3 linked regions of the Coturnix japonica genome follow. The protein of the gene in region 1 interacts with the protein of each later gene in a pairwise test. Links are inferred from orthologs where the notes say so. Each region holds a gene or a part of one and is shown in the gene's direction. Other genes may lie near its edges. The genes, in order: DEUP1, ESRRG and TXLNB.

What was found.
Region 2: the proteins of DEUP1 (region 1) and ESRRG interact in binary tests that used the Homo sapiens proteins (3 or more experiments, as listed by UniProt). The two-hybrid records come from large-scale screens. The link is inferred for Coturnix japonica from reciprocal best matches to the Homo sapiens genes DEUP1 and ESRRG.
Region 3: the proteins of DEUP1 (region 1) and TXLNB interact in binary tests that used the Homo sapiens proteins (3 or more experiments, as listed by UniProt). The two-hybrid records come from large-scale screens. The link is inferred for Coturnix japonica from reciprocal best matches to the Homo sapiens genes DEUP1 and TXLNB.

The regions. Positions count from the first base shown.
Region 1 is NC_029516.1:166,248,462-166,251,765, reverse strand, and holds part of DEUP1 (deuterosome assembly protein 1), read left to right. Parts: exon of another isoform or gene 1-109; intron 110-2,425; coding exon 2,426-2,614; intron 2,615-2,708; coding exon 2,709-2,779; 3' UTR 2,780-2,854; coding exon of another isoform or gene 2,855-2,865; 3' UTR 2,866-3,304. UniProt on the Homo sapiens protein: Key structural component of the deuterosome, a structure that promotes de novo centriole amplification in multiciliated cells.
Region 2 is NC_029518.1:17,480,702-17,485,028, forward strand, and holds the start of ESRRG (estrogen-related receptor gamma), read left to right. Parts: upstream 1-1,381; 5' UTR 1,382-1,531; coding exon 1,532-1,629; intron 1,630-4,327. UniProt on the Homo sapiens protein: Orphan receptor that acts as a transcription activator in the absence of bound ligand. Binds specifically to an estrogen response element and activates reporter genes controlled by estrogen response elements.
Region 3 is NC_029518.1:48,823,703-48,827,925, forward strand, and holds the start of TXLNB (beta-taxilin), read left to right. Parts: upstream 1-1,386; 5' UTR 1,387-1,588; intron 1,589-4,223. UniProt on the Homo sapiens protein: Promotes motor nerve regeneration. May be involved in intracellular vesicle traffic.

The DNA.
Region 1 (3,304 bases):
AGCTGTGCCTTTCCCAAAGGAGGAGATGAGGAGGGTGCAGAAGCGACGCCGCGGCCCAGCAGAACCCATCTCTACCACCAGCCCTGCCAGCGCTGCAGCACGGCAGCAGGTAGGATCCAGCATCTCACAGAGCCCCAGTTCACTGATCCCGGTTTCCCCACACTGCAGTTTCTTGGTACTCTCCCTGCCAAAGTCAATCAATTTGAGCATCTCATTAAAGACAAAAAACCCACCACCCAAACCACTGATTTTGATTCATTTTTAATGTCGTCTCTGCTTGTTGAGCCTGCTGCTCCAATCTGGTCTACAAGGCCATTTGTCAGCTGCCCTGCTCAGCCACCAAAACGCTGAAGGACACACAGGATCCTCACAAAAGCCTTACCCAAAAAGGCAGCAAGAATTCTAAACAAACCCGTTCCCCAACCATGAAGGTTTCCTGAAGAATCAGTTTCTGTCAACAAGGGGAAGAACCAAAAGGAGACAAGGAGAAACTTTTTAAACACAGGCAATCCCAGATTAGAGTGCAACCTCTTGGAAAACGTATTAAAACGCAACACTTGATTAAAACTGGGCAAAAAGAAATAAGCCCTCCACTGTTCAATCACCTCCGTGCTCAGCTCTCAGTCAGCCACCCCGTGTGAGGGACAAATGGCTGTGAGACCACCCTTATGAGCAGCTCCAGCAGTTATTCCAATTCACATTCTGGTTCCTTTGGCAGCGCGGCTATTTTAAGTCACCCTCCTAAGCCAGCACTGCTGGTAATTCTTCTTTTGTGTTCCTCTGCAATTCTTCAAAGCATCATAAAGGCAAATTTAATAAGCACCTCAATTTGTATTGCTTTCTATTTATAATGCTGCAAGCACCTGCTGCTGCTGCTGAGATCTAAGTAGGTATCTTTCTTACTTTGTGTAGATTAATTCACATTAATCTCAATAGCTCCATCTTTCAGAGCAATTGCAAGAAACACTCCTCCGAGCTGCTGGGTTTATGGGCTGTTTGGTTTTTTTTTTATTTTGGTGGTGGTTTGGTTTTTAAACATTTCCATCGAGATCCAACTGACTTGAGAATACAATTCATTTCCTTTCATTGCTCACATTCATTTGGAAGGGCATCGTCTGGAGCACTCAGTCCAGCAGACCCTTTCTTCACCACAAGAGCAGCAGGCTCACATCAGTGACAACACTTTGGGATGCACCCTGAGCCTGTAGCAGTGTAAATCGCAGCATTAGGATGTGCAGATGGTTTGGGAGCTGCACATTTGCAGGGCATGGGTGTCCACAGTCTGGGAGATTACAAGTTTGGAACATATTTGATGTGAGCTTCTCTCTAATGGGGGGTATTTTAGCTTTTGATATTACCAAGTTGCCTGCTTAGACCAACTGGCAGCTAAGGCTTTGAAGCACAGAAACCCCCTTTCATTGCCTAGAAACTCCCTTTCAGAGGGGCTGAGAAACCACTAACCCATTCTCCACTGCTTACGGTGTTAGTGGATGCAGCCAGAGCCCTGGGCTGTGGGCATCCTCTCATCTACAGCATCAATGCTGATCCTTCTTGCTGTTATTTCATTCAGCAAAAACACAGAGAGGAAGTTTAACACCATTGGGGGGGGGTGGAAACAACCATGTAAAATATGGAGGTGAGTAGGATTAATGAGGCCTGGACAGAAAGAGCAAGAAAGCCCCCGTAGTGCAGGAGAATAGCAGAGAAAAGAAAGAAGAAAAAAAACACACTTGGAAGGAAAAGTTGTATGGAAGTGAAAGAAAGGCTAAAGGAGTGGGTGGGAGAGGCAATTTGTTAGAGAAGTCAGACATCCGCTGCCATTCTCATCGCAGCTCCGTGGCGCTGCACACTCAGCAGCTGGCGCATGAGGTCTGTAATTCTCACCCATCTCCTGCCTGTGCGTTTAGGTGCGATATTGCACACTTCTCTGCAGCCAGACAAGGGATCTCTCAGCAGACTTCACAGGGTGTTCTGAGCAGAATTTCATCTCACGAGCGACTTGTAACGCTTCAAACTCTGCTCCATAGGGATGCTGTGCTATTTGCCTCTCTGCGGCCTTTAATATGGGCCAGGCCTTAGAGTTGAACAATTTTAAGCGTTCCTATTAAAAAACATGCATCTTTCTCCTTGGAAGAATGTTTTGATGATGTTTCTTACCATCCCAGTTTTACAAAGGTTGCATAGTAGAGATACTCCCCAATTCCAGGCTGATAGCTAATCATTATTTTTAGCCTTCCAAGCAAATAGGACAACTTAAAACGGCGAACACTGCTCTATCTACCCATCCATAAATTAAGAGTGACAATAACAGATTATTACTCATTCACTCACAGTGTTTGTTTGGCCCTGGGAGAACTGGCTTTACTCCAAGAGCTGACAAACACTGGTTAATGTACACGTAAATGTGTTCCTTCTCTTGATGCAGGCAATTTCACAGAGCAAAACACCGAGTTACAGCTGACCTCAGTTTTCCTGCCGATGCCTGTTTGGGACATGGGGCCGCTGAAAGCCTTTGGGAGCTTTTTCACACCGAGTCACCAGGGAAAAGCCACCATTTCTTTGCAGAGTGAGACAGTTTCTCTTGGAAACACGAAAGCTCTAACTTCCCCACGAGGTAAGCCAATAGAGACTGGCTCACGTAAGGTTCCTGTACTGATTTGATAATATTGACACATTCCAAAATGTTTCTTGCTAACTGCTCCCAACAGGCTGCTCCCCAGCACCAGAGCTGCAGTACAAGAGCTGTAGCGCCAGAAGTAGATTCAGACCCCAATGTTAGATATGAGAGCATTCAGAAATAGCACTTCTCTGCTGCTGAGAGTGAAGAAGGGATTTCTTGCCCTTTGTTTTCCAGTGCAAGTGTAATGGAAAAGAAAACGTGGTTTTCCTCAAACTAATCTGGACTGGAGGACGAAGAGCGACTAAGAAAAGCGATGGACAAAGAGATAAACAGACCACATATACAGAGAGAGAACCAGGCAGTGGCTTAGCAGAGCTTCTCACTACTCACCAACCCAGCACCTGGATACACAAAATAATCCAAGGGCAGAAACCCCTTCACCATGGGCTGTCCAAAACCCCATGCTGAAAGATTCAACAGCTCACTTGGTGCCTTTGGAGGCAAACAAGAGAGACAACACACATCACCTCCTGCACAATTCAGAACTTCTTTCCTACAAAGGGCCAGAGAGGTCAGTAGATGTCTAGACGTATTCCTCCCATAACCCGGATCCATCAGCCACTGCTTATCCCTCCGTGCAGCAGAGACGTGAGATTTTCTGCAGCAATTAACCAAGCCTTGAAG
Region 2 (4,327 bases), on another chromosome or scaffold:
TTATGTTTCTTTTTGGTGCTTTTTAATTCAAAGGGTGTGAATTGTGAGTACCTCTGAAAATTGGGCCACCAACACTTACACTTGTTTGTGCTTGCGAGTGTGCACGTGTGTGCAACGTGCGTGATCAGATGTTGTGCGTGCACAGGATCTCAATTATTTTCCTGTTTGAATCACTGAGCTTGCTGTCTTGATGTACTGTCAGTTTTGCTTTCTGCCCTTTGGAATAAAGTTCAAAATGTTAAAGAAATAACACACAATATATTAGGAGCTAGGATAGTCATAGTGCCCAAGGGGAAAGGAGTGTGGTGAATAATCTGTTTTATGAATGCCTAAAATAAAACCTTAGCTACTCCTAACCCAACTCTGTAGTGATGTACTTGCAAAAAAGTGATTTTCTAAATGTTGTTTTGAGGTTTGGTTGTTATCTTGCAGAGAGCGGTAGCCTCCCCCCTCCTCCCCTCCTCCCCCCCCCCCCCAAAAAGCAGCATGCAGGGTCTTGGTCATGCTCTGGACATGGGTCATCATTGTTCTTCTGAGTATTACTCTGGGCTAAGCACTGAGGCAACTAAATTGAAATTAATCCTTGATAATTCTTTAAAATCAAACTTCGCTGCCAAGTTTAGGGGTTGAAACACCTCTAGCATGTTTATATATCACTTTTCTGGTTTCATCAACTCATGTGGACAGCAGTAAGAGGTGCAAGAGTGGGGATGGGTCCTGCCTGTCTCCCGTGGTGCTGAGGCCAAGCTGCAAGCTGGGGCAGTACTAATGTGTGGTTGGAGTCACTGCACTGGAGTCCCAGGCTTTGCCAAATTGAGGATACTGGGCTCTACAGATATGACACGGTGCTAAAGGGTCTACCTTGGCTATTAAATGAAAGAACTGGCCTCCTCCACTACCCAAATCTGTTGGTTTGTATTCTGTATCAGAAGAAAACAGCTGGGGTGTGTGCAGCTGATGCAGGGCAGGTTCGGGTTATATTTAGGATAAGCAGGATGCCCACTGTACATATTGATCAATTCTGAGGCATAAAGTGCTTTTGGGTGCAGCTTGCAGCTTCTCATCTGCAAATACCAGGATCAAGGTAAAGCAAAACATCTCATGGAGAATTCTGCAGTTTGTAGTCCTGACAGACGAAAACCTTTTACTGTGACAGAGACTTCCTGCTTGTACTGTAACAAGTAGGGGTTTCAGATAATGTTAATGGTGCTAATATGTTAAATGTGGGTTCCTGAAGTCCTGTAGGACATGCAGCAAGCCCCAGTGATTCAGACTGGGTGAAGTTGTCAAAGGTTGCTCTGCTCTCCAGAGCCTGGCAATAGCTCCACTGAAATGTGATGCCATTGGTTTTCAGCAAAGGTTTCTTTCTGCAGGGCTGCAAACAGAGATCAGCTGCTACTGTGTATACACAACTAGGGAGCAAATCAACCAGCACATTTAAGGAGCCTTTTTAACCCTGAGACTTTCCAAGATTTCTTCTTCACACAGGAAGTTTCCTTTATATTGTCAGATTTAGCACTTTGCTCATGTAATGAGATCAGAGCTAGGATCACTGCTGCACAGTAGAAAGACTTCCTTAAGACATTTGTCCTTGAAACTGCACCAAACTCTTGGAAGAACCCAGAACCTGTAAGTATGTATGCTATAGGCAACAATAGCACAGAGCAGTGCTGCAATCAACCGTTGTACAATATCCGATTAGCAGTGCAGGAGGGGTTATTTTCCGATGCTATGTTACGTTCATTTTCAGTTTGTTCTAAGGAAACAAATCAATTCGGGCTTCTGATACAGTGACTTTGCAGTAGATGAGCTAGTAATGTGTTTGATTTAACTATTTGTTGCTCTCGTGGGACAATGATTGTAGCCATCATCCTGTACAGAACTTATGTTTTTAGGGATTTAAAATGATTTTTGGTAGCCATTGTGCAGATAAGTTTTTCCTTTGCTTTTTGATTTTGGCAACCCCACCCTACGACAAACTATAAATAACAGGGCAAAGGGAATTAGCGCACGTTGTTCTTAGGTAGCCATAAAATATATCTGTTTTTGCAGCTTAATTTACTTGTTAGTAACATTCCAGTGTTTGGGGGTATTTTTTGTCTTAATTGAATTCTACTCAGAGCTGTCTGTTCTGTGTTTTACGGTCTTGTCTGTGTCTGTTTAAGTTACTTTGCTGGGACTGCAGTCTGGTTAAACCTGTATTTAAGCACTATTTATATTCTGAGCACATTTCTGGTAAAATAAGTGTTTGAGATTTTTTTTTTTTTAAGCCTCTAAACAGTATAGTTTTATTAGCAGTGAGCACCAGAGGAGGCACAACATGGATGAATGTCAGATGTAGACCATAGAACCAAGTCCTCTGTGCGCTAAGTCAGAGCCGAACCTGTCCGCTTTTGTGACTACAACTAATAAGAGCCCAGAGCTCCCTTTTGATAAATTTTTAATATGCAACAATCCTTATGTTTATAAGATTAATTTCTCCCAGGTTAGCCTGATTGATGGCTGGATTGTGGTTTCTTAAGAGCTTTCTCCATGAAACCCCCCAGAAGAGCTGCATTCCATTTAACTAGTGAATGTAAAAACTGGTAACCATGGATTCAGCCACCACTAACTGTCGAGAGCAATGACTTGTTGTAAACAATACAAATGAGCCAGGATAGCAGAAGCAACCAGACATGAAATGATTTTAATAGAAATTACGGTAAAGGTCATGTGATATTGTATCGGCTTGAATTCAGTGTTAAAGGGAAAGTATTTCAGATTTGCAGGTTTGATTTAAATTGTACATCTTCGGTAGCTTCACGTTTGCATGAGACCCATGGAAGGGAAAATGAAGCAGTGTTTGGAAATGCCTCTGCTTAATTGCACATTATGGCTTATACCCTGATCCTGAAAACGTATGAGTAACTTTAATCAGTGAGATTATTCACGTACTTAAAATGAGGTAGTTGTATAAGTCTTTGCAGGATCGAGGCCTTTCTAGGTAAGTTAGTAAGGGGAAAAAAAATCTAAATTGTAAGGAAATAATAACCTGTCACTAATGATAAATCATGGAAATGTGAGTTTTAGCACTGTGCGGTTTGGTTGGAAATTGTTTGCTTGTATGGATAACAGAAAAACAAGTTATATTTATCCCTTCATTTTTAAATGTTATGACTTTCATTTCTCATATCCACCATTCCTCAAATCCTCTTCCTAATTTATAGCCTCTCTCCTTTGGATAACTGGTACACTGGGGTGTCAGCTATTATAATACAGCATGATGATAGGCACATGCAGATCGCATGAGCAGTCGTGTGTCCTATCTCAAGAATTTCCATCCCTACAAAATCTTTGCTGACTCCCAGCTGTCACATGGCTGTCACTCACAAATTCTAACCATAACCAAATCCTTTTCCATGTGCATGCGCTAACCAAACCTTGCTGTGTCCCTGTGTGCACAGGCACAAATGTCCCTGCTTTAAGTGCTTTCTCTGTGTAAATTGGGCTCTCCCCCAAGCCTGCTGCATTCCACTAATATTTCTCCATTAATTTGTTCTTGGGCGCTGCTTCCCTGTCATGCCTCTGCTAACCACACGTCCTTTGTAAGAAGGAACCTGGAATAATAATAGCAGTTGGTCAGAAATGCAAACAAAAATAACTTTGTGCTTTATGTAATACAACAACTCAGATCAGTACCAATCTAAACTCACAACTTCCACCCTAAATGTCTCAAAAATTTTAACTCTTTAGTGTTCCATAGGCAAAACTGTCACCTTGCAGCATACCAAATTGACACATTTGAGTACCAAATTTTTAACACTTACATCTTATGGAAAAGCCAGGAGTAGTTCCAGACCTTTTGTGTTTTTCAATCAGAAATATTTTAAAGAATTTCTCATCAGTCTTTTACAGATGACCAGTCTCTGCCAAGCAGAGTTTGCAACTGAAGATGTGTAGGTAGATACAGGACAAGTCTTGCTTTCCCTGTTCTTCTGAGATGACTCGTTAACCTGGGTGGGTTCACTTGTGTGTGTCAGGAAGGTAAGATTTAGCTTATGCCTAGATTAACAGCAAGTCACTCACCTAATACAGACAAAAATAGACTGACATACTGGAAAAATAAATCCATTACCAACAAAACAACAAGCAACCAACTTTTCAATAAGGAGGGAAAGGAAGGTTTGGGGAAAAAAAAACAAAACAAAAAAAACATGCCAAAATGTAAACCATTTTCTGTCAGGGCAGGTCATTGAGAGGATGTTTCTGTAAATCAGACCTACAACATTATGTAGAAGGAGGACAGAAAGGGCACCATCTTAACTTTGCAAGCACAGTCTAGGAGAAC
Region 3 (4,223 bases), on another chromosome or scaffold:
ATAACTATCTCCACAAAGTTCTTTAGTCCTCTGAAGAGAAAGACCAGGATGCTCTCAACATATCAAATACCTCTAAGACAGTACTTCTAGATATTGAGCAGTCCAGTGCTGTTCTCTCTCACTTCTTCATGAATCAGATATTGCTACAAAACATTTCTAGATCCTCCAGTGCCACACAATGCATCAGTTTAAGAAATTACTCCAAATTTTTTTAGTATATACTTATTTTTCCTCCTATTTTTGCTCCGAGGCTTATTATTTTCCACTGGAGCTGAAGTCCTATTTCTCTTCTCATAGCACTGCCTGCCACTTCCAGCACCAGTCTATTGCTTCCCAGTTGCTTGCATTTTTGTGCATTAAACTGACCTACATCTCTCCCTAGGGAGTAAGCAGCAGATGGTCCTTAGGCCATCTGGCATCTTGAGATGCTGCCTGAGTGACTTGTGGGCCACAGCAGTGGGAGATGCTGGTCGCTGGATAAACAGCATGCAGCTGAACTCCCTGAGGAGTGCTTGCCTATTTATACAAACAACTTCAGGCCGGAGTGAGCCTGCACGGTATCATGAAGAAAGTAGGTCAGGCAAGTTACCTTGGCAGCAACAAAAACATTTATTTGAGAGCTCCTTGACTCAAAGAGAAGACTACACCAGCCATCTCTCCTAGCATTCCAGTCGCAGAAATGAGTCCATTCACCAGAGGGACACTGTGGTGGCTGGGGTTGGATTATTTGCCCCATGTTGTGACTAAGGAAGGTGGGATGGAGAAGGGAGAGCTTTGAGAACTCCAAACTGCAGCCCGCAGTACCTATGAGATTAACAAGAAGACAGATAGAGGCTTTCCATAGGGGTGTAGGTGGGAGGACAGGAAGCTGAAAGGAGGTTCAACCCAGATGTGAGGAGAAACGTTTTCACCTTGAGGACAGCCAAGCAGCAGGACAGGTTGCCCAGTCTCTTAATGCTAATACTTAATACAGGTCTTGAGAGACCTGGTCTCAGCTCATAGCTAAGCTTGCTATGAGCAAAAGGCAAGAGACATCCAGTGGTCCTCCTGTGAGTCTATGACCAGGAATCAGGTTTATAACAAATCCAGACCAGACTGCAAAGGGCAGTCACAGGTGTGAGCTCACACTGTGGAAAGCCACCCTAGTCTTCCTGGTGTAGACAGAAGACTTAGAGTTTGATCAGTCCATGTTTAATAAAGATAAGTTTCACAGAGCACAACACATCAAATCCTTGATAGACTAAGACTTAGCTTTCAAGAGTAGCAGCTGTATTTGAATCCTTCCTGTATCTCTTCTTTCTAAGGGCCTGAGTCACTGACCTCTCGTGCTATCTCTGTCAGAGAAGGGAATAGCCAACATAGTTGGGTTATGCTGCCAACTAGCAGGCAGCCTCCCTGCTCGCCTATCACAGCCAGTCCCCTGCATAGTGCGCATTTGGGCTCTGCAGTGGTTGTTCCTGCTGTGTCACTCTCTCCTTCCCCCTTACTTGATCTTCTTGGTGGCAGGATTATAATCCGGTGTTCTGCTGCTGTTGTGCCCTGGTTTGAGCTTTCTACCTGACTTCTGCCTGCACTTCTCTTTGCTCTGGTAAGTCTGACAAAGAGCTTCCCTGCTGTTACTGCTGGTGGCATGGCACAAGGACTTTAATCTAAGTGCTTCCCTTTGAGACAGTCAGCCCACTTTCCCCACTGGAAAGCCTGGGCACTGTGTGGCATGTGAGGAAAACAGGAGAGCATGGAAGCCCATTGGTGAAAGGATGAAATGCTTGAATGATCAAAAAAATGTAAGCTGACTTGGGAGAGCTGGCTTTTGGGTGCAAATAGAGGCTATGGCTGTGACAACAAAAACTGATGAAGACTCAGGTACCACATGAAAGACAAGACAGGAGACATCAGAAAGTCTCTGGGTCCAGGCTCTATCCATGCCTGTAAGAAGACGTGCCACCAAACAGCCAGATTTGTTCGATTTTGTGCTAGAAAATCATGCATAAATCACAACACCATTCAGCTGCAGCACATAGTTGATAAAGCTGATTTTGTCATAGCGTTCTGAAGTAATATATAGAACAGCCTTCAGGCTATAAGAAGGCACTTCTATATTTCTAGAGGGTAATTGGATCTACACCACTGCTGGCCATTTCAGGGTTTAATGTTTGCTGCTGGGAGGTGTTATGTAGTTTAGTATGGTGATATGCTGAAGTGAAGCTTTAGGTTTTATTGGCATATGCTGCCTGGTGTAATTATATAGAACACTTTGTTTTAGGGAACTTGTATGTGCGAGTATGTGAATTTTGAGCAAAAAGTGTGAAATACTATTCCCCGTTTTAGAAGTGCTTAAAATAACTCCTGGCTGCAGAGCAGGTGCCATGTGTCTTTCTGTTGGACCCATGGGGAGGCAGGTGCTAAATATAGGCGAATTAGTAAACCCTCCAGAAGTTCAGACTGCAAGAAGGGAAGGACAAAGAAATTCCTGTGAGAAGGAATGGTAAGAGTTCTGTTCAAAATAATAATAATAGTAATAAATTGTGACAGCATGCAAGCCCAAGCTCAAGACCTGTGTTTTATGCTCAGTTTGTGCTTCCAGTTACAGCAGCACCTCCACCCCAGCAGCACAAGGAGGGCTGGCACAGGGCACTGTGTGGGGTGGTTTGTCCAGCAGCAACAACACAGCTCATGAGTTTTTGCTTTGCCAACCTTTTGCTTCGGAAGCACTGACAGATGTCTAAGCAGAGTGAATGCAGATAGTGCCATATATGTGAAATACTAAGGGATACGGTCAGATCTAAACCAACTCAGTACATTATCTAACTGAACTTGCACACTTCTTTTCTGTTGCCTCTGGTTATGTTGCGTGTTTGCCGCATTTGTGTGCTCTCTCACCCAACATGCTGATTGCATCAACCCCAGGCACCAGTCTCACTGCAGGACAGCAGGTCTGGACAGGAGTCCTCCTACAGAAAGGCATCAGCCTGTGCCTGGCATCAGTCACCTCTCATCCAAGGCTGGGGCAGTGTTCAAAGGAGGTCCGTCCTTCTCTTGGGATGTGCTTGCTGAGTGTTTACTGAGGGAGGAGAGGAAAGGAGAAGCTCTGCCACAGTCAGCATAGGGAGGCAGTAGGCTCTCAGGATGCTTCCTAGTGGTGGAAGACCATCACTACAGCTAGGTCCTGGGTCTTCCTGGCTAAGCAACCAAGAGCTGCATTGCCAACACCTCCTCCCAGCCATGACTTGCAATGCTGTCCCCACAGACTCCAGCATGGTTTTCTCTAACTTTGCTGATGATGAAGACAAACTTAGGGTTTCAGACTTACACTCAGAATCAAAGTGAAACATACACACACACCTAGGGTCTGGGCTTGAAATTTAGACTGGCTATCTCAAGCAGACACAGAGCTAAAAACTGCAAGGCTGATGTAGAAACAGCATTGTATGGCTGTACTATTTTCTCAGTCTGTAGGGAATATCTGTAGGGAGCAACTATGACTGTCTGGAATCAAAATTGCGTGCAAAAAGGTAGGGCTGAGAGAGATACTGATCTCAGAGTTGTGGGGCAAGTACAGGGTTTGGAAGTGTAGGAGGAAAAAAGTAAACAAGACCAAACACTCAGAGTCAATCAAATGACTGGTCAGTCCTACCCCTCACCATAAAATAAGCTAAGGCCCTATAGAAAATCCCTGTGTGTGTGAAGACAGTGATAGCTGTAGGAGTCACAGAAGTCAAGAGGCAGAGTCAAAAAGCAGGCTCTGTCTCCTTTGCCTCAGTCTGTTGGAAATTAAGGGGCTGAGGAACTTCTCTTCTGGGATCAGCCACCTAATTTTTAGACATTACTGTGTCTGAGACAGCAGTAATGTAAATACTTGGGATTTTGTTGGATTGGCATTGTAAGTCTTTTATGGCCAGATAAGACAGAACTCCTGATGCATATCAAGGTTAAACAAGTTGGAGCAAGAGCAGGACTGGGAATTACTGCAGTAAAATTTCCCGTCGCCAAAGGCTGTTTTCAGAAGATGAGAGCTGCTCTGTCTTCCTGAATATAAACTCTCTCACACTGTGGAATCCATTACACAAAACAAGGTGCTAAGTCTTAACAGACATTGTGTTTGTGCTGAAAGCAGTTATCAGATCTCTGATTTAGCCTAAAGGAGAATGAAAGAAAATGCTAAAATGTTTGCTTGCCTGTGTAAACACAATCCTCAGTATGATATAGTAAGTGACAACTCTGGA